3 linked regions of the Cricetulus griseus genome follow. The protein of the gene in region 1 purifies or fractionates together with the protein of each later gene. This does not show direct contact. Links are inferred from orthologs where the notes say so. Each region holds a gene or a part of one and is shown in the gene's direction. Other genes may lie near its edges.

Region 1 (6,711 bases):
TGTGTGTGCATGGGTATGAATGTGTATGTGAGAGTGTGTATGTGTTGTGTGCATGCATGTGAATGTGTGTGAGTGTGTGTGTGCGTATAAATGTGTGTATGTGTATGAGTGTGTGTGAATGTATATGTATCAGTGTGTGTTAGTTTGTGAGTGTATATGTATGAATGTGTGTTAGTGTGTGTGAATGTGTGTGTGTGTGTTAGCGTGTGTGTTTTTATCAGCAACACATAGGATAATTTTCTTAACAATAAGCTTTTGGAGGGGACTGGAGACAGAGAGAGCAAAGTCAGCAAGGTGCTTGTCTTGCAGGCATGAAGATGTGAGTTCAGTTCCCAGAACCAATATAAAAAAAATCAGATACGGAGCGATATGCTTGTAATCCCATTACTGGGGAGAGAAAAACAGGTGGCCAGCCAGCCTAGCCTAATTGGTGAGCCCCAGACACTCAGCTCCAGGTGAGAAACTCTGTCCCAAAAAACAAGGTGGGGTCTGGACAGCACTTGCTCTTCTTGAAGAAGGTTGAAGTTCAGCTTCCAGTGCCTATTTTGGACAGTTCACAACCACCTGTATATCCAGCTACAGGGCATCTGGTAGCCCCTTATGGCCTCTATAGGAATCTGTATTCATGTACAATACCCATACCCATAAGCATATGCATTGTAAAAATAATCTTTAAAAGGAAAGGGACTAGCTCAGTGGATAAGAGTACTTGCTGTTCTTCCAGAGGACCTGAGTTTGGTTCCCAGCACCCACATGGTGGCTCACAGATGTCTATAACTCCAGTTCTATGGGATCCAATGTCCTCTTCTGACCTCCATGGGTACCAGACACTCACATGGGGCACAGATATACATGCAGGCAAAACACCCAAACACAGGAAATTAAAATTAATAAATCTTTTTAAAAGAAACACAAGATGAATTGCACTTGAGGAACACCTGGCCTCCATACACACATATGTGCGTGAACACAAGAACACACATGTATACATATATATACATATATATATACATATGTGTGTGTGTGTGTGTGTGTATCTGCCAACTAAATAGAATTTTATCTTGGGTCAATTTGTGTGTGCTTGAGCACGCATGCATACACACACACACACACACACACACACACACACACACACACACACAGGAATGACCATGGCCCAGGAACACAGGTTCAGGTGCCTCAAATACCATGTGCCAATGTGGTAGCGGTTCCACAAAGTACAAAGAAAATAGTAAAGGAACATTTTAAAGAGGTTGGTGGAAGCATCAGATAGATAAATTACAGCAAAGCCAGGAAGCCTCTGTGTATCGTCTCAGATATCATCTCTTGATGTTCTCTTGATGTTTTTAGCCGTTGGATTGATTGCAGACAGAGGACTTACTATACATTTCAAAGGGATTTACCTGATAGTCACAAGGACATTAGGTCAAACACACGGGTGGGTGATACAGGAATAGGGAGCCTGAAATAATTTGACTATGGACCTGCAACGTTCTAGCTCTGGATGAACACAGAAGTTCTAGAAGTTCTAAGCAGTCAATCAGCCTTGCAGAATGTCTGAAATGGGTGAGGCTTCTTTCCGGAAACTTTTGTTCATCTCTCTCTCTCTCTCTCTCTCTGGAAAATCATCATAGCTTTTAGGCTTTTGTAACGCAGTACCATAGGGAAACCAAGAGTTCAGGAAGAGTCGAGGCTTTGTGGAATCCAGACAAGTTTGGGAATGTAAGGACGTTTAGGGAAGGAAGTGGTGATGGTGGTATTGAGCAAGCAAAAAGCCTCCGTTTGGGTCTCAACCAAATTAAAATAATTTTCACAAAGAAAAAACTCGTAAAAAGAGAAAATGCAGCACAATGTAACATAGGCTGTCCGTCGTGGTGGAATTATAAGTGATTTTTTTTCAATTGTCTCTAAATTATTGTGTATTTTGTATTTCTGCCATAAACATGGGCTCACTGCTAGACACGCCTCGGCCGGTAGGTGGCGCTGTGTATTGCGTTCTCAAAACTGGTCTGAGCAGTAAACAGATCTGTCATGGGAAGCGCGGCTACACTGAGTTGTCAGATCACAATAGGGTCAGGCCACGGTCGTCACCGCCCCGAGCGGGATAGAAGATGTTCCAGCACCGATCCTCTTTGGGTAGTTGGGATTGGGAGAGTTGATCAGAGTACTTATCGGGGCCTAAAGAAACAAAGGCTGAAGTCTGTTACACAGAGAAACCCTGTCTCGAAAAACCAAAAATAAATAAATATAAAAGAAACAGGGGATGAAATGTCCCAGTGTTCTGGGTTCTTAATTAGGAAAATTGCCTCGAAGTACTACGCGCTAAAACCTCGCCCAACCTCTCCAACCCAGAGAGAGAAGGGGGAGCAGTAAGTTAAAACATCAAAGTCAGACGTTATTGGAGTAAGCCCAGAGTACCATCCAAAGATGCGTGTTTCTCAAGTGTGAGAGATCCCATCCGAGGGGCGCGCAGGGATAGGACGGCACAAAAGAGCTGGACTGGTTCCCGGGGAGGCTTTGGCGAGGGGTCCTGAGACCTGCGCTGTAAGACGCCTTCAGGGGGAGCGAGGCCAGCAGGCGGGGCTCCGGCCGGGCTCCGCCCTGCTCGGAGCTCTAAGCCCCGCCCCGAGGGCTTAGCCCCACCCCTTGGGGCTTCGGAGCGGCGGCAGCCCTGACCCCGCCTCCGTGCTTCCTGACTTGCGCGCGCAGCCCGCCGCCTGCGCCAGCACTCTCAGGCGCCGGTCCCGAAACCGCCCAGCCAGTGCGGCGGCGCTCGGGTCGCGGTGGACGGCAAGCAGAACCGCGGTCGGTAGCCCCGCGCGACGACAACATGAGCGCGCGCCACCCGGCCCTCGGCCTCCTCCTGCTGCTGCTGTGCCCTGCGCAGGTGAGCGGCTTCCAGAGACCCGGGCGGGCTGGGCGGGATGCGGCGGGGTGGTGCGGCCGCTCCGGAGACCGCGGGCGCGGGAGCTGGGGGCGCGGGCGCGGGCGCGGGGAAGTTGGTCGGCGGGTGCAGCCGCGGAGGTCGCCTTCTCCAGTGTCTGTCCACCCTCGCGCTGTTCTGTGGTCTGGGAGAAGTGACAGCCGGGGCCGCTGTTTGGCCGGCTTTGAGCCCATTCCAGCTGTGGTCACCTGATTTAGGATGTGGGAATTGGAGGGACAATGGGTGCAGAGGATAGGGACTTTGCTTGTTTTTAGCCATTTTAAACAAAACAAATTCTACATGCACACGAGCTCTTAAGTTTACTTAGCTTCGACTGCATCATTGCCCCTTATCTCCAGACGGTGGAAGCCGAGAACAAAACTCCAGGCACCAGATTGACTCAGCTTGATCTAGTGTGGGTTGCCTCTTTTCACGTTCATTTAACGTCTCAGGAAACTGAGGCCAACAAATACTGTAGGCCCACAATTAGCTAGGGACAGGACGACACCAGGAACAGTGTAGTGACCTCCCTCATCTGGCTTTTCTTGCTGTGGCCAACTTGGGCATGGGTGCGTCGCTATTTGTGTGTCTACAGTTTTCTCATTGGAAACGGTGGGTGTGTGTGTGGTGATGCCTAGGGAAGAGTACTAATTAAACCAAATCAGGATGACTAAGTCAATGGAAATTCTGTGCCCTTGTGCCCACTAACTCCCCTCTGATGGACTTGGATTATGACAAGGGGGTGAATCAGACGAAGGGGTTACCCGGCCTAGGAAACCTATCCTTTGAACTTTAAATCTCTGTGCAGTGCTTAGAGCAGCCTAAAGATGCCAGCCTGGGAGGGCCCAGGAGTCAGGAGTACACATGCAGCTTCCAGGCTGTACCCAAGGTAAGGGAAAGCAAGGAAGACAGTTCAGGGAGCTGTTTGGGACAGGCCAACCCTTGCCAAGTCGGTTTTAGGTGTTTGCCTCAGCCTTGATTTTTTTGAGATGATAAATACCTCATCATTTGTGAAATGAAGTTAGTGTATGGAGAAGCTGTTTCCCTGACTAATGTAGTGCCTTGGAGAAGATGTCAGCAGTTTCTTTTCCTAATCAGCAGACTCCACATTATAAAGTGGTTTAAGCTTATCTCTGCTTTTACCTCAAGGTAGCCTTCAAGGTTGATAAGCAATGGGCTCCTCTCACGTGAAGTAAACCAGAAGTTGATATTCTTGCAAAATGCCTGAGAGTCTTTCCAAAGCCCTCTTGTCTAGAAATGCTCCCATTGTTGTTTTAGAACTCAGCTCCCTGCTATCTAGAGGCTCTGGGGCAGCTGTGGCAGCCATGTGGGTGGGGTATCTGGTTTTAGAACTCATACTGGTCAGTGGCCCTACCTCATCAGGTTGCTTGCAAATTAGAGGCAGTTGTCCTTTAGAAAATCTAAAACACATTTGGAGAGATTTTTGGTTTTCTCTTTAAATTTTTCTATTTACAGATGATGGAATAGTAACATTGCCAACTTGAGTGTTCTCTTTTTCTGTTTGTTTTGGCTTTTTGTGTGTGCCAGGGTTTCTCTGTAAGAGTCCAGGTTCTGACTCTCACTGTGTTGCTCAGGTGTGCCTTGAATTCACTCTGAGCCTGCTTCAGCCCCCTAAGTGCTAGAGTTATAGGCATGAAGCAGCACACCTGGTTTAGACAGCTTGTTTTTAGTGTCTGTATTGCCATGGTGTGCACGTCTTTAATCTGAGCCCTAGGGAGGAAGAGTCAGGCAGATCTCTGTAAGTTTGAGTCCAGCCTGTTCTACCTAGCAAATTCTAAGCCAGCCAGGTAAATGTCGAGACCCTGTCTCAAACAAACAACAACCTACCTGTGTTCATCCAGGTATGAATGCAATTTGGGGCAATAAACTTGTCTTGCCTGGCTGACTTTTTCCCCCTTGAGGAAGTTGGAATGTGTTGAGGTCTGAGTACTCATTAAACACTTAAGTGGCTTTTTCAGGGTTAATAATCTCATGAAATTGGAGTGGCTATGTGTAATCTTCCCCAGCTTCAGTCCATCAGTCAGATTGATGGAGTAAGATTTGATAACATAAATTACGAACTGGAAAAGGAAGGTCTTTTTCCTTTGTTTGCAAGTGGGTAAAGAGTAAAGGGCTTGCTGAATGGAACTTTGTATTTCTCCGAATTTATTATATTACCCAGAACAAAGAGTCCCTCTGTTGAGGGAGGCATGGGCATCCTCTCCTGGCTTAGCTTCCTCAGGCCACTTTTAAAGAGGCACACTGTTTCAAGCATTGCGCATCACCTGCTGGGGAGTCTGAATTAAGCCATCTCAGGTGCCCTTTTCACTGTCGCATGGGGTTCTGCAGAGGGTATCTGCTCTCCAGACAAATCCAACCATTTGCTATCAATACTGCACAGTCTTTGCCCAAGGTCCCTGTTGCCTGGAGCCTTATTGGTGACATTGTGCTGTTCCCCAGCCAGGATGTCCCATGGAAGTTTTTTTTTTTTTTTTTGAAACGTTATTTTTATTTATTTCTTTTTGCGATGTTTTTTTTTTTTTAAAGATTTTATTTATTATGTATACAGTCTTCTGTCTGCATGCCAGCAGAAGGCACCAGATCTCATTCAAGGTGGTTGTGAGTCACCTTGTGGTTGCCAGGAATTGAACTCAGGACCTCTGAAAGAACGGTCAGTGCCCTTAATGGCTGAGCCAACTCTCTGTTTATCCCCCCTCCCCCGTGGAAGTTCTTGATTTTTGCTTAAACTGCTGCAATGGCATTTTCTGTTAACAAAATCTTTGAACTCAAAGACCTGGTTTGGGGGGACATCTTAACTCCATCTCTCCCCACTGGAACTTTAGTTTTCCCCCTGTGAAGTCAAATTAACTGTGCCCACTTTCCAGGGTGTTTGTAAAAGTTATTTGTTTGCTTTGTAACTGAAATGGCAAACTGCAGGCCCCTTGAGGGAAAGAACTATATTTTATATCCATATGGGGCCAGGACTTTTGATGGCTCTTTTTAATCATTAAGTCTCCACGCTTAGAAGTGGATCTTGAAAAGGGACTTAAATATTAGTTGTGATTTAAAAAAAAAAATGTATTTGCTGGAGAGATGGCTCAGCAGTTGGGAGTATTGGCTGCTCTTCCAGAGGACCAGAAGACTACATGGCAGCTCACACCTGTCTATAACTCAAGTTCTAGGGCTTTTGAAACCCTCACACAGACATATGTTATATAAAACACTAATGAACACACACACACACACACACACACACACACACACACACACACACACACACACACAGTATTTGCCATTGATTTCTGGTGACGACTGTGAGTAGCTAGGACTTTCTTTGCCTGCGTGTGGTGGGGGAGGTGAGGATGATGTGCACATGGAGGGCAGAGGTCAAGTGTCTTCCTCGGTCACTGTTGAGACCTGGGCTCACCTCTTCAGCAGACTAGCTAGTCAGCAAGCCCTAGGGACCATCCTCCTGTCTCTGCCTCCTCAGTTCTGGGACTATAAGCATGTACCACAGTGCCTGACTATGGACATTGGTGCTGGACATCCAAATTCTGGTCCTCATGCTTGTGTGCCAAGCACTGATTCACCAACTGAGCCACCTGTGGCAGCTCCCAGCCTATGCCTTTAATCTTAGTCTTTGGAAGATTTGCTTAGGCAACAGAACTTTAAAAAAAAAAAAAAATTCATGGTTTAAACAATAAGTACATGTTTTTAAAATCCTCTCATACAGTGAATACGCTTCTGGGAGGATTTGAAAGACATCTAACACTTTCTCTTTGACCTTT
Region 2 (6,915 bases), on another chromosome or scaffold:
ACCTGTAACTAACTTCACTCCAGGGAATCCAATACCCTCTCTGGCCTCCAAGGGCACCTGCACACATGGGTATACAAACACGCAGAAGTAAAGCAAGTCTTTCAAACTAAATAAGTAAAGCATGGTTTCTCCTAGCTCCTCTGAGATGTGTGCTGAAGCCCAGAATGTTGTTCCCAGAGCAACAAGTCATCAATGGGTGGCCATGCTGACTGAAGTCAGCCAGCGAATTCTTGTTCCCCAGCTGTTGTCCAGAAACACTGTGGGCAAGTCTGAGCTTGGTGATAAATACTCTAAGGACCAACTTATTGGGATCTTCCTAGACCTTAAGAATAGCACAGAATTAGGTAAACTTCATGCTCTGTGACTTCATTTTAGGGCATGTGGGAAGAGGCACTGCCTGAGTCTTGCCTCCCAGTACACTACGGATGCTTAGGTACCTCCCCACACCTACACCCCCATCCCCGCACCCCAGACTACCCAGGAATCCTTGAACAAATTCTCAGACTTAAGCCAGGGGCTTAGGTAATAGCTCCACACCTTTCTAAGTACTGATCTTCTGTGCTGATTCATGTCACAGATAGTAGAATTCCATACCTGTCTATCCAGTCAGTCATGTCTCAAACTAGATTTCTTCACTTAAGAGGTCCCTGGACAATATAGAAGGATCTGAAGGTGTATTTTAGAGTCAGGATGCTTGTGAAGGGAAGAAAAACACAAGGAAGGTAGGGAGGAAGATAGGAAGGAAGGAAGGAAGGAAGGAAGGAAGGGAGGAAGGAAGGAAGGAAGGAAGGAAGTTCAGATCTGTTGATAATTTTGGATGAAGGAGAAAAAAACTACCTGATTACAGAAGAAATTTTGTAATTTTTTTTTATTTATGAAGGTAAGAAAGCATTAATGAAACCTTGTTACCAAAGGAAGTAATAGCTTCACAGTTAATTATAGTTGTTACATTGTATTTAAATAACAAGATGATCCTCATTTGAGTTTTTTTCTAGTCTAGACTAGTTTCAAACACAAAATGCAGCAGTCTCTGCCTTAGCCTCATGGGGAGACTGAACTTTGCACTTGGTCCCCAACCCTTGCCCTTTGTCTTCATTTGAAAGAATGTTTCTAGAGCTTTTTTATTTGATGTGTTAAAGATCACACCTAACACATGGGTGCCATTAAGGAAGGGCACAAAATGGTCCCTGTGCCAGGGTGTGAGGGGTGTGGCATTACTATATTTCTGTGGCAGGAACGCATTTTTCAAACACTTCAACAATCACATTTGAATGTAGTTGGTTCCTCTGGAAACCCCATGCATCTAATCCTGTGCACTAGCAAATGTTATTTTGCAAAGGTGCCTGGATTGGAGAGTGCATCAAAGATACAGCCTCTGGGACTTAGAAAGGACAGTTGTTCAGCTCTCCATCAGCCATTAGATACAACCCAGGGTCCCTTTGGGCTGGTCACAGATGTGTGGAGCACAGAGATCTTTTTTTCCCCTTTGGTAAGGGGCCAGGTACAAACTGGCACCTGCTTTTCCTCAAGGGTTGGTTACAAGACAGAAGTTTGGCCTGATGTGGCAGCATATGCTGGTAACCCTCTTGAGGGTAAGACAAGAAAGCCTCAAATTCAAGGTCAGCCTAGGCTACAACAATAGAACACTGTCAAAGAATGATGTTCCTTAAGAATCCACTGATTTTTAACTTCTATATTGCAGGTGAGAGTTAAAACCTGGAAACAAGTGGAAACTCACTTCAGATTATCGAAGTTACAGTCAGCAGCTGTTGTAATCTCATTGAGTGAGCTCCCTCTTTATATATTTTTATTCCTTCACAAGTATCAAATATAAGTGTATATAAATATAAGAATTAAAATGAAAAGGGAGGAAGGAGGGAAAATTTACTAATACTCCAATGAATTCTGAGTTTAAGGGATTTTAGTCTAAAATAAATCTTAATAGAAAAGAGTGCAATTCCACTTCTAAGTTTGTGTAAGGCCTGTCCACAACTGTTTTTTTCTTTTTTTCTCTTTTTTCAAATAAGAAAAAAATAAAAAGAGGAAAGGAATATTGAAACATCATAGCTGGAGAGATGGCTGAGCATTAAGAAGACTCGCTAAACTTCCGGGGGTATTGGACACCCTTTTCTGACCTCTGTAGACAGCAGGCATGGATGTGGTACATATACACACATGCAAAGAAAACACCCATGCATATGAAATAAAAATTCTAAACCAAAGCATATTAGTCTAGGGAGGGCCATGAGGGGCCCACGCACTTGGCATATGGAGTATCAGAAGTTCACTGACTGCCAGCCTGGACTACGTGAGACCTGGTTTTAAAAACAAAAAGAAAGAAAAAAAAGTATAATTTTAATATATATGGTATACTTTATATATAATGTTTAATATTAAATAACTACATTTTCTACACTGTTTAATATTAAATAACATGAATATACTACACAGAAATCCCACAACAAAACTACTCTATGGTTGTCGGTGTGGCTCAGTATTTGCCTAATACGGACAAGGGTAAGGGTTTGATTCCTAGCTTCTCAAAACCAAAAATAAATAAAAAGAGAGGGGAAAATCCCCCCAAACACCAAAACAAAACAACCAAAGCAGAGCCCAAATTTGACTAAAGAAGCAGACTCCACAGAGGTCACTCCAAAGTTTCTCAAGGCGATGAGCAGGTGCAGCAGCGCGTGGGGCGTTTTGAAAGCAGGCAGCTCAGTCGGGTTCCCACGCGGCCATGTGCGGCTGTGCTCCGAGGCCGCGGCGCCGGGCGGAGTCTGGGCTGCAGAGCCGGCGCTCTGGGCGGGGAGCAGGCGCGGCCCTGCGCTCGGGGCGGGGAGCTGGCCCAGCGTCCCGTGCAGCCCGGCCAGGCCGGAGCCAGACGGCGGGCGGGTCCCGCGCCATGGGGCGACTGGTGGCACTGAGTTTGCTGGGCATCGGGCTGGCACTGCTGGGCGAGCGGTTCCTGGCGCTCAGGTAGGTGCTGCCGAGGACCCCGGGTCGAAGATCCTCAGGCTGGGATGGCCCAGCTGCTTGGGGCGGGGGGGTAGAGGTGGAGGGGGGCGCACTGGAGCTAGAGCTCATGTAGCTCAGGGGACCAGGCCGAGGGAAGAACTTTGGATCATCACCGGTGTCCCATTCAGCTGGCCCAGTCCACCGCCATCACGACCTAGTCACTTTGTAAAAAGTTTTTCCCAGCCTGGGCTGGTGACGAGGTTCTTCTGCCTAGGCGGACAAGAGAGAGCTTTGCAAATTTCCCTAGGGCCAAACCCAGTGCTTTAATTTGAAAACAAAACCATTACTCATGCGTGGGTGCTCTAATTACACAGCTTTATTGCAGGTCACTGGTGCTGTTCTCCACAGCCGGAACCCAAGCCTCTCCAATATAATAGTTGGGGAAACTTCGGTGCTCCAGTCTTGGTTCTGGAGATCAAAGAAGACAGACAGCTACTGTTCTTACATCATTTCCTTATTTATTCACCAGAGCTCCAGGAGCAGAACGAGCGATGGTCAGATTTTAACTACAGAGAAAACCTTCTGGGTAGACATCAGGCTTTCAAGTTACCAATTCAAAGGGTATAAGCCTCTTGCAAAAGAGTTCCAGAACATTTGAGTGCCTACAAGGTAGTAGGGACATGTTTGCCCCAGGTTCCTGTAGAGAACTGGGAACCCTAAATGAAGTCCAGATTTGTTTTGTTTTGTTTTTAAATTTAAATTAGAAACAAGCTTGTTTTATTGTCAATCTCAGATCCCTCTCCCTCCCCTCCTCCCCTCCCCCATCCCCTTTCTGCTCCCCAGAGAGGGTGAGGTCTTCCCTGGGGGATCAATGAAGTCCTTTTTGATACAGGAGAAAAATATGGGAACTGGATATCCAAAACAGGAAAATGGAATCCTTATAGAGTTAAAGAGAAAAGAAGCCGCCCTCTGAAGGTGTTCTGGAAGGAGGAGCAATCTGACAGCTGGGGGGTGGAGAGAAGCATGAAGCTGACCATCCCCTGTGGCAAGTGTAGTGCCAGCAAAGAGGCCACGTTGGGGAAAGTTACGAACAGCAACTGGAGGACAGGGCTTGCCATGTGTCTGAGGCTTCGAAGTTGGGCTCTCTCTGATAGGCAAAAGGGGAGTGTTAGTGTTTATTGGTTGTTTAGCATCCCGCTGATCTAAGGAGTCTTGTACTATACAAAATAGTGTATAAGGACAGAGCAGTAGTGGCCTCATTAAAGGATCTCCTGGAACCCTGGTATCCAAGTGGCACCATGTGACAAATTCTAATTTAATTGGTCGGGGTGGGGCTAGGACTTCAGTTTTTGGTTTGCATATATATATATATATATATAATATATATATATATATATATAATTCTTGGTTTTGAGATGAAGTCTCACGCTACATCCGCTATATCCTCTGTTTTGAAGCTCAGTCTAGTCTTGAAACTCTGGATTCTTGGTCTCCCAACTTGCTGCTATTACAGGCACACACCACCACGATGTACAGGATTTTCTTTTTCCTTTAATATTTGCTCTTTCCTAAAGACCTGTAGTGTAGCTCAGTGATAGATCGTTGCTCAGCATGCTTGAAGCTTGGGGTTCCAGCCCCAGCACCACGCTACAAAATCAAAACACAGACCACACACATCTCTCTCTTGGTAATTCTTGTGTATACTATGCATCATCAGCGTTGAGAGCTACTGGACTGGATGTGGGGAAAACAGAGCATCACAGAGGGTTGGAAATGATAAAGGAGACCCAGACTGCATCCCCAGGAATGAGAGACAAGGCCGAAGTGAAAGTGTGGCTTGCAAGATAATTCCAGGGTCCCATAGCTGCAGCCTCACTTGGTGCTAAGACACCAAGTGTGGGGGTAGGAGCATTGGAACAAGGAGGAACGCTTAAGCCTGTGGTAGGGAATGCCAAGGCCAATGTAATGGCTCTGCAGAACGTTCATGCATTAGATGGGTTTGGGCCATGTTTTGTTTTTGATGGATATACAATAAGTGTACATATTTATGGGCTCCCAGACCTATAATGATTAGCACAGCCATCACCGTAAGCACTTGCCCTATTTTTTTTTTTCAGATGAGAATAGGAAAAAGCCTTTCTTCCTAGTTCGAAGTACACACTATTGTATAGTCACTGCCCTGCTGAAGACAACAGCAGAACCCACTTTAAAGGTCTACCACACTGCCCTTTCCCCTTTCTCTGTGGCTGGCCCTTAGGGACTTTCCATTTGGGAGCTGTAGTGTATAGTGCAAAGAAACTATCCAAATGCAAGCATCTCTTCAGCAGGGGTTTCATTCCCTTTGGCTATATATCCAGTGTTGACATGGCTAGAATCTATATGGTACTTCTACTTCAACACATTTTAAGGCATCTCCATATTGTTTTCACAATGGCATAGCATTTTACATCATCACCCAGACTTTTAAAAAGGCTCTCTTTCTGAAAAGGGCATGTGGCTCAATGGGAGAGTACCAGCCTATATGGGACCATGCATTCAACCTCCAGTATAGACAGAGACGTGCTCACTGTTGCTCTGTCTCTTTTTGGCAGCTCTCATTCTGACTAGAGTGAGATAGTATCTCTTGGAGAGCTTGAATTGCTTTCCCCTGATGACTGGTGAAGCTGGTTATTTCTTCATAAGCACTTTGGCCATCGTTTGTCTTCTAAGAAATTCTACTGAGGGCTTTTGCTTATTTGGGTTTCAGTTTATTCTCTTGTTTTGTTTTGCTAATGAGTTATGCAAGTTTCTTACAGGTTTTGACTACTATGGAGTGTATCGCAAATGTATCCTCCCATTCTGTGGGCTGTTTCTGAAATCTGTTGGTTGGTTGTTTCATTCAATGGAAGCTTTCCAGTTTGATGTAGTCTCCTGTTTTGGTTTCCTGTGCTTTTGAGGTCTTAGGGATTAAGTGACTTTGTGCATTCAGTATTAAGGAGACACAAAAATTCCTGGGCTCATCCAGTGGTCACTAACGGTTAAATCATTAGTGTTTCCACAAGCTGAGTTTTGCTCAGTCGATAGTTAACTTTTCCCCTTTCTTACTAACCTTCAAGTCCAAAGTTTAAGACCCTCTGAGTGACCAGTATAGTTTCAAATTTAAGAAAAGTAAGCATAGATGAGAACCCATGTGGCTGGAGGGATCACTAGTGCTGAGAGCTTGTGGTACAAAGAACTCACGTAAAAATCAGACAGGGCCATGCATGCCTGTAACCCAGGCTGTCTCTAGGTGATAAGGTGGATGCAAACCCAGGGTCCTAATCTGATTTCTACATGTATGTACATGTGTGCATGCATCCCATCAACAAACACACTACACCACACCCACACACACCACACCCACACGCCCACACACACTCAGTGAATTCAGAGGGTAGGTAGTTTACAGCTTGGTGCGAACTCTCTTTACAAATCCCTGACCGAGGTAAACTTTGATGAGCAATGATTTTGTAGCTGGTGACTTGGTGACTTTATTGGATAGTTGAAGCCCCAGAGAGGCTGATGTAAGAATGTGTGTGTGTGTGTGTGTGGGGTCAGTGTTAGATTGTTCCCAACCCCCCAAAACAATCATGTTTACCAGTTACATTTGAGTTTAGATAAACAGAGCACCATTTCGTGTGTGTGTGTGTGTGTGTGTGTGTGTGTGTGTGTGTGTGTGTGTGTGTGTGTGAGTGTGTGCATGCACTCAGAGGCTGAAGATGGACATTTCGTGTCTTCCTCAATTACTTTCTTCTGCATGGTATGCTTTGAAACAGGATCTCTCATTGAACCAGGAGCTCACTGATTCCCCTAGCCTGGCTGGCTGGTAGACTCCATGGATTCCCCTGTCTCTGCAGCCCCAGTACTGGGATCTCAGACCTGTGCTACTGTGTACAGCTTTCACATGGGTGCCAAGGGTCAAACTCAGGTCCCTGTGTTGGT
Region 3 (6,908 bases), about 120 Mb from region 1:
AGGGAAGTTGCAAGCCTGATGGTCTCAGAAAATGTTTCTGCCTGGAGTAAGGGCAGAAGCCTGCTATAGAAGGGCCCTCTGAGCTCTGGGTATTGCTTGGCAGGGAGGTGGGGGTTGTTACAGCAACTAAGATGGTAAATGAGAACAGATTTGTTAGAGTGGCTTACAGGCTGTGGTCCAGCTAGTCTAACAGTGGCTATCTAGGTCCAAGAACCCAGTAGTTGTTCAGTCCACCACAGGGCTGGCTGTCTCAGTTGGTCTTCAATATACTCTGGAATCCAAAGAAGTAGGCTCTAATGCCAGTGAAGGAATGGATTTGCCATCGAAGGTGAGAGCAGGCAGGCAAAGAGAGAGCAAGCTTCCTACCTTCATGTTGTTTATATATGCTGCAAGCAGAAGGAGTGGTCCAGATTAATGGTGTATCTTCCTACCTCAAAGATCCCGATCGGAAGTAGGTCTTCCCACTACAACTGATTTAATTAATAATAATAATAAATCCCACATAGGTGTGCCCAGTCATTTGGGTTTTAGTTAATTCCACAGGTAGTCAAGTTGACAACCAAAAATAGCCATCACAATAGGTGTTTTGTATCCTAGGATTGAAACCTTCCATCCTGCAGGAAGCTCCTTAAGGAGGAAGGTAAACAACTCAAAACAACTGCTTCATGAAGTCCCTAAAACCCACCAGATTCACTAGGCTCCTCCCTGCCAGAGTAAGCAGTAAAAGCTGGGAATCCCTCTCAGACACAATGAAGCTGAGCTGTAAAGAAATCTCTCAGGAGCAGACTAGTTCCCTGGCAGAAGCAGAAACGAGCCAAGCTGCCTAGAAGAGGTTTGGATCAACTGAATCAGTTGGAAAAGGCACTCAACTCCAACCTGTTGAACCATCTGCAGGCTGTACACTGTGCTTCAGGTTCCTAGCTTTTGTGAGTTGTCAGCAATGCTGGAGTGGGCTTTGGTGATGCAGCTGCTGTCTTTTAGTCATTTTTGCTCCCATAAGTTACCCCCTAAAACTCACTGGGCCACCAAATTGGATTTTTGTGGTATTTGTACTTTGGTCTGCTGTGGATTCCCTATCTGGTGTGAGCAGACTTGTGTCTTGCGTCTCCTGAAGAAACATTTTGTCACACAACAATAGGACTTCTGTAACTGGCCAAAGGTTAAAAAAGGGGGGGGGGATAGAATTTCACATTATTATTTTTTTATTTTTATGTGTATTGGTGTTTTACCTGCATGTATGTCAGTGTACTATGTGTGTGCAGTTCCCACAGAGGTCAGAGGAGTCGGCTCCACTGGAACTGGAGTTACAAACACTTGTGAGCCACCTTGTACGTGCTGGAAATCAAACCAGGGTCCTCTGGAAGATCAGCAGTGTTACCAATGAGGCATCTCTCCAGCCCAAGATTTCACATTGTTTTAGAAGCTAGATCTGGAAATGTCACACAGCACTTCTGCTTCCATTACACTGCCCTTGGCACAAGGCCCTACCTGACCATCGCTCAAGAGCAAAAGGAAATGTCCTTGCCACATACTCTCAGACTCCCTCAGTTACATTTAACTACAGTGATCCTTCATCCCATCACTTCTGTGTATAAGGCTAGTTTCTTCTAGTTGCTTACGGGTTTTGTTGCTGTTCTTGTTGTTGCTTTAGACATGGTCTTCTGTGACCTGTGCTGACTGTGTTGCTAAGGGTGACCCTGAACAACTAACTGTTCCTTGTGCCTTTACTTCTCAAGTTCTAGAATAACAGGTGTGTGGCACTACGCTCAGCTTTATGTTGTCTTCTTCCAACTAACATACATAACCTTAACCATGTGCCAGGCACTAGCTACTTTAAAATAGTAATTCACTTAATAATTGGCATAATAAAGGTATGTACTATGAAGCAGATACTTATTTATTTATTTATTCTATGTTACAGATAAAGCTGTCAATGTATGCTCTTAAATGCTGAGACCTGTCAGCAGCACCCAGAGTTAGCACTGAAACAAGATCTCACTAGGTAGCACTGACATAGATGGGCTCTCTTACTTGTACCCTAGTTCAATTTTGCTCCCCTCCAAATGGAACCCAGTACCATTCTGTGGCAATAGCGAATCCCATGGTTCCCTAGTTAATAAACCTATTGGCCTTTCACATTTTTGTGCTTCAGAACATAAGGTGAAGTGTAGGCTCAGAGAAAACAAGCATGGTGGTGCTCGTCTTTAATCCCATCACTGGAAAGGCAGAGGCAGAAGGCTCTCGGTGAGTTTGAGGTCAGCCTAGACTACATAGCGAGTTCCAGGCCAGCTAAGGCTACATCGTAAGACCCTGTCTACATATATGTCTCGCCTTTTCGCTCTTTGACTATTGGAATGATTCCCATCAGCTGCAATGTCCTTCTCTCTTCTAAACACTTCAGATGTCACCACTCCTGGAAGGCCTTTCCCAGTGGCACTATGTGCTCCCTGCTTCTTTGCTAGCAATCACGAGTCCTAGAAAGCTTTGTCTACTTACGGGATCGCCAGCCCAGGTGGGTGAGTCCATTCTGGGACTTCCCGCAGCTATCCCCAACAGAGTTTAGTGTTAGGACACCAGGACTGAACACTTTGGGGGCGGCTCGGCCCCGCCCCCTCACCGCCCGTGTGAATCGCGCCACCCAACCTTTGCTCTACCCGTCATAAAATGGTTCAATCCAGAGGGCGGTGCCAAGTGCCCCGAACGTTCCGATTGGCTCGGGCGAGCCGTACCATGGTGGCGGGGGCGACCGTGGGCAGCGGCTTTTGAGTCTGTATGAGGATAAGCTGAGGCCCTAGCTCTCCCCTGTGCTGGTGGTGCCCGGCTGCCCGCCGTGATGCAGTGGTCCTTGGGCCGGCGGTGGGCATGGATCGCCCTATTTCTGGCTGTTGCCGCGGTGCTGACCCAGGCGGTGTGGCTGTGGCTGGGTACTCAGAACTTCGTCTTCCAGCAAGAAGAGATAGCGCAGCTTGCTCGACAGTACGCTGGTGAGCGGGTGAACGGGTGAGCGGGTGAGCGGGTGAGCGGGTGAGGGCGGGTAGCAAGATGGGCCGGCACAGAGCGGAACGGAGCTGCGTTTCCCGAGGGCGCCTTCCCCGCCGAGCCTCAATCCGGGGCAGGTCTCACCCACGCCACTCCTCTTTGCATCAGGACTGGACCATGAGCTGGCCTTCTCTCGGCTGATCGTGGAGCTGCGGAGGCTGCACCCAGGCCACGTGCTGCCGGATGAGGAGCTGCAGTGGGTGTTTGTGAACGCCGGCGGCTGGATGGGCGCCATGTGTCTTCTGCACGCCTCGCTGTCTGAGTACGTGCTGCTCTTCGGCACCGCCCTGGGCTCCCGTGGCCATTCGGGTCAGTGCTGGCGGTAGGCCGGATTGGGAGGCTGGGACTGTTCGAGGTCGGATGCCTCCATTCTGAGGTTTGGTTGGGCCGTGTGTTGACAAGGATACTCTGATGGGCGGTGTCTGTTTTATTGTCACTCAGGGCGATATTGGGCTGAGATTTCTGACACCATCATCTCTGGCACTTTCCACCAGTGGAGAGAGGGCACCACGAAAAGTGAAGTCTTCTACCCAGGTGAGTAAGGAAGTTATGTCCGAGTGGGCGCCCTCTAGCTGGGGACAGGCCTAAGGCAAGGAAAGAGCCTATCAAAAAGGCCTACCCAGTGATTTCCTTCTGTCCCCTAAACCACAGGTGTTTGGTTAGGTTGGAGCTGAGGAACTCTTTCGCTTTCATTTGTTAAAGGGAAACAAAACACGGCAGTTTCCCATCATAGGGGGCTGATTTTTATCAGCCTGTTTTACCCAGCCATTATTCCAGCAATTATTTGGTAGATAATCATACCTGAAAGTTAAGACAGACATTTCATTTCCCATCCTTTTTAAACTAGTGAGACAGTTTGGGAGTTTTGTTGTTGTTTTTCAACCTTTTTTTTTTTTTTTTTTTTCGAAGCAGGGTTTCTCTGTGTAACAGCCCTGGCTGTCTTGGAACTCGCTCTGTATACAGACCAGGCTGGCCTTGAACTCACAGAGATCTGCCTGCCTCTGCCATTCCCAGCACTCGGGAGCAGAGGCAGGCAGATCTCTGTGAGTTCAAGGCCAGCCTGGACTACAGAGTGAGTGCCAGGATAGGCTCCAAAGCTACACAGAGAAACCCTGTCTCGAAAAACCAAAAAAATAAATAAAATAAAATAAAAGCATGTGCCACCACCAACCAGCACGCCTATTGTTTTTTAATTGGACCTCTGCATCCATTTAAAAGAAAAAGTTTGGACTTGGTGGTGTAAGGATAATCGTCAGAAAAGCCTGGCAAGCCTTGTAGCTGTCATACTAGCCCAGCTCGGTTAGCAACATTTCCACTTGATACGAGTGAAACATGAGAATGCAGGTGCCCATTGCTTCCATATATTAGACTGTAGCTGGGTGGGGGTTGCCCTCCATAGTCTCCCCCAAGAGAGGACATGGGCCAGGCGATGTCATAGGATATTTAGGAGTGGGCGTTTTGGTCTCTATTTCCCCTCTGATTGGCAGCCAGACCAATGGGGTGGAGTTTCTTCCTTTCTTGAAACTGTGTTTTCATTCTCCACCTCTGCAAAGATAGTGCAAAGGCTAGGGAAACGCAGTTATAGAAGGGCATCCCTGGGCTTCTCACGACATGCTTCTTGTCTAACCCCAAGGAGAGACAGTTGTACACGGACCTGGAGAGGCAACGGCTGTGGAGTGGGGACCAAACACGTGGATGGTGGAGTACGGCCGAGGTGTCATTCCATCTACCTTGGCATTTGCACTGGCTGACACTGTCTTCAGCACCCAGGACTTCCTCACCCTCTTCTATACCCTTCGCTCCTATGCCCGGGGCCTCCGGCTTGAGCTCACCACCTACCTCTTTGGCCAAGACCCCTGACCAGCCAGGCCTGAAGGAAGACCTGTGGATGGACAGGAGTGGGCAGGACCACATTCATCTACTTGCTGGAACTCATATGCACAGACAGCACCATACACCATGCAGATATTAAGTTCCTACTGTATGAGGAAGGTCATACATAGTTACACATCCAGACACAGCCCTTTGGGAGCCAGTGAGACACATAGAGATGCTAAGATTTGTATGTACTGTAAGGTCATGTACTCATATCCATCCAGAGAGGGCCCCTACATATATAAGAAGGGGGCCAGTCATGTTTGAACATCTATCACAAGCTTGACTCACTGACTCAGGCCTTTCCAGAGCTTGCTGCTGGCATTCAGGGCTCTGGGATTAAGGATTGGGGTGGATGTTTCATTCTGCCTGATACTCTGATACTACAGTAGGAATCTCAGTAAAGGAAAAGTGGAACTGCCCTTGGGAGGCCCCCTTCACCTGCTGCCATGATGTCCTTCCCTTCATCTCCCTTTTCCTCACCATATGCCTTATCTCCATTCCACCTCCTGCTATGCAAGTGCCCCTGTGGCTTATCCTCCCTGCCCTCAGCAACCAACTCAGCTGGGAAAGCAGAGAAATGTGTAGAAGGCTAAAGGGAGTGTCTTCCATCTCAGAGACCCCTGTTGGGGGTATGATGAGAATTCTGGCTTAAGCCCAGGCCTGTCCTCAAGGAAAGGGCCTGGAGAAGGAATCTTGGGTCCAAGGAGCCACCCCAGTCCAAAGGAAGCCCTTATGTGCACACCCCTCTGTTTCCAGACATTTCTGTTGCATTATCTGTCTACCTGTCGGTCTCTGGTAATAAAAACTTGTTAAACAGTTCCATTTCCTTGTGTGTGTGAACAGTAGAAAGGCTGCTGCCTCCTGGGCACTTCAAAAGGCCCTACAATCCAGTATGTAAGACCAGTTTTGGACAGAAGGGGCTATATATTTGAATGTGTTTAAGAATTACTTAGGAGGCTGGGCAGGCATGGTGGCGCATGCCTTTAATCCCAGCACTTGGGAGGCAGAGGAAGGCAGATCTCAGTGAGTTCAAGGCCAGTCTGGTCTACAGAGCAAGTTCCAGGGCTGCTACACAGAGAAACCCTGTCTTGAAAAACCAAGCAAATAAAAATTAAGTAGGAATTACTTAGGAGACAGTCTTTCTAGGGGTGGTGGTGTTGGAGCAAGGCCTCCCTTTACAGCCTTGGCTGTCCCAGAACTTATAGATATCTGTCTGCCATTGTCTTCTGAGTGCTGGGACTAAAGGTGAACACCACCACATACAGCTTTTTTAAATCTAAGAATGGCATTGAATTTACTTTACGAAGCTGAAATCAAACTTGAACTTCTGATCATCCTGCCTCTGCTTCCTAGGGCTGAGGATTAGGGCCAGAGCTTTGTGCATGCCTGGCAAGTGTGGTTTTAACCACAACCCTAGAAGGCTCCTGAGTCTCCAGCTGACTGGATTGCATCTATAGAGATCAGTTTTAAAATATGAGGAATTGAGCAGTGTGAGGTACTGTGTCTACTCTGCCAGTTCAGTCCTGGTTCTGAGAAATTAGCCATACATGGCCATGGGGTGGCACTATACTCCCACGTTTGAGCTGAAAAGCAGTCTAGGCTGGCTTTGGGGCCTCCCAGAGTATGGAGTGCAACTCTATGTGGAAGAGATTTCCTCTGTTCTGGTTTGCTTTTTACCCAGCACTTGAGGAGTTCTTGTGTGGGGTATGAACCCCACAGGCAGACAGGCACAGGCAGACAGGGTCAAAAGACCTCATTCCTAAGGACCTTGTTCATGTCTTCTCTTGTTCCCAGGTCACCAAGATTTCATCACCTTCATCCTGCTCCTATTAAGGTTGAATAAGGTCCAGACCACTACCATTTCTTGAACTTGATAAGTTAATATTGGAGGGAACAAGGTTATATAGTTAAGCATTCTAGAGAACACAAATCCAAAAGGCTACATGCATAACCTTATTTGACAATAACATCAAAGGTCTAGCCAGGCATAG

What was found.
Region 2: the proteins of Npc1 (region 1) and Pon2 purify together in Homo sapiens (affinity purification with mass spectrometry; 3 studies listed by BioGRID and IntAct, with this or other methods). This does not show direct contact. The link is inferred for Cricetulus griseus from reciprocal best matches to the Homo sapiens genes NPC1 and PON2.
Region 3: the proteins of Npc1 (region 1) and Sigmar1 purify together in Homo sapiens (affinity purification with mass spectrometry; 3 studies listed by BioGRID and IntAct, with this or other methods). This does not show direct contact. The link is inferred for Cricetulus griseus from reciprocal best matches to the Homo sapiens genes NPC1 and SIGMAR1.

Annotation. Positions count from the first base shown.
Region 1 is NC_048595.1:224,086,654-224,093,364, forward strand, and holds the start of Npc1 (NPC intracellular cholesterol transporter 1 precursor), read left to right. Parts: upstream 1-2,782; 5' UTR 2,783-2,830; coding exon 2,831-2,887; intron 2,888-6,711. UniProt on the Homo sapiens protein: Intracellular cholesterol transporter which acts in concert with NPC2 and plays an important role in the egress of cholesterol from the endosomal/lysosomal compartment.
Region 2 is NW_023276806.1:219,553,199-219,560,113, forward strand, and holds the start of Pon2 (serum paraoxonase/arylesterase 2), read left to right. Parts: upstream 1-2,828; 5' UTR 2,829-2,902; coding exon 2,903-2,976; intron 2,977-6,915. UniProt on the Homo sapiens protein: Capable of hydrolyzing lactones and a number of aromatic carboxylic acid esters. Has antioxidant activity. Is not associated with high density lipoprotein.
Region 3 is NC_048595.1:100,860,433-100,867,340, forward strand, and holds Sigmar1 (sigma non-opioid intracellular receptor 1), read left to right. Parts: upstream 1-2,746; 5' UTR 2,747-2,833; coding exon 2,834-2,984; intron 2,985-3,147; coding exon 3,148-3,348; intron 3,349-3,480; coding exon 3,481-3,573; intron 3,574-4,672; coding exon 4,673-4,899; coding exon of another isoform or gene 4,900-5,011; 3' UTR 5,012-5,739; downstream 5,740-6,908. Other genes in the region: Galt (galactose-1-phosphate uridylyltransferase), read right to left, coding at 2,497-2,526. UniProt on the Homo sapiens protein: Functions in lipid transport from the endoplasmic reticulum and is involved in a wide array of cellular functions probably through regulation of the biogenesis of lipid microdomains at the plasma membrane.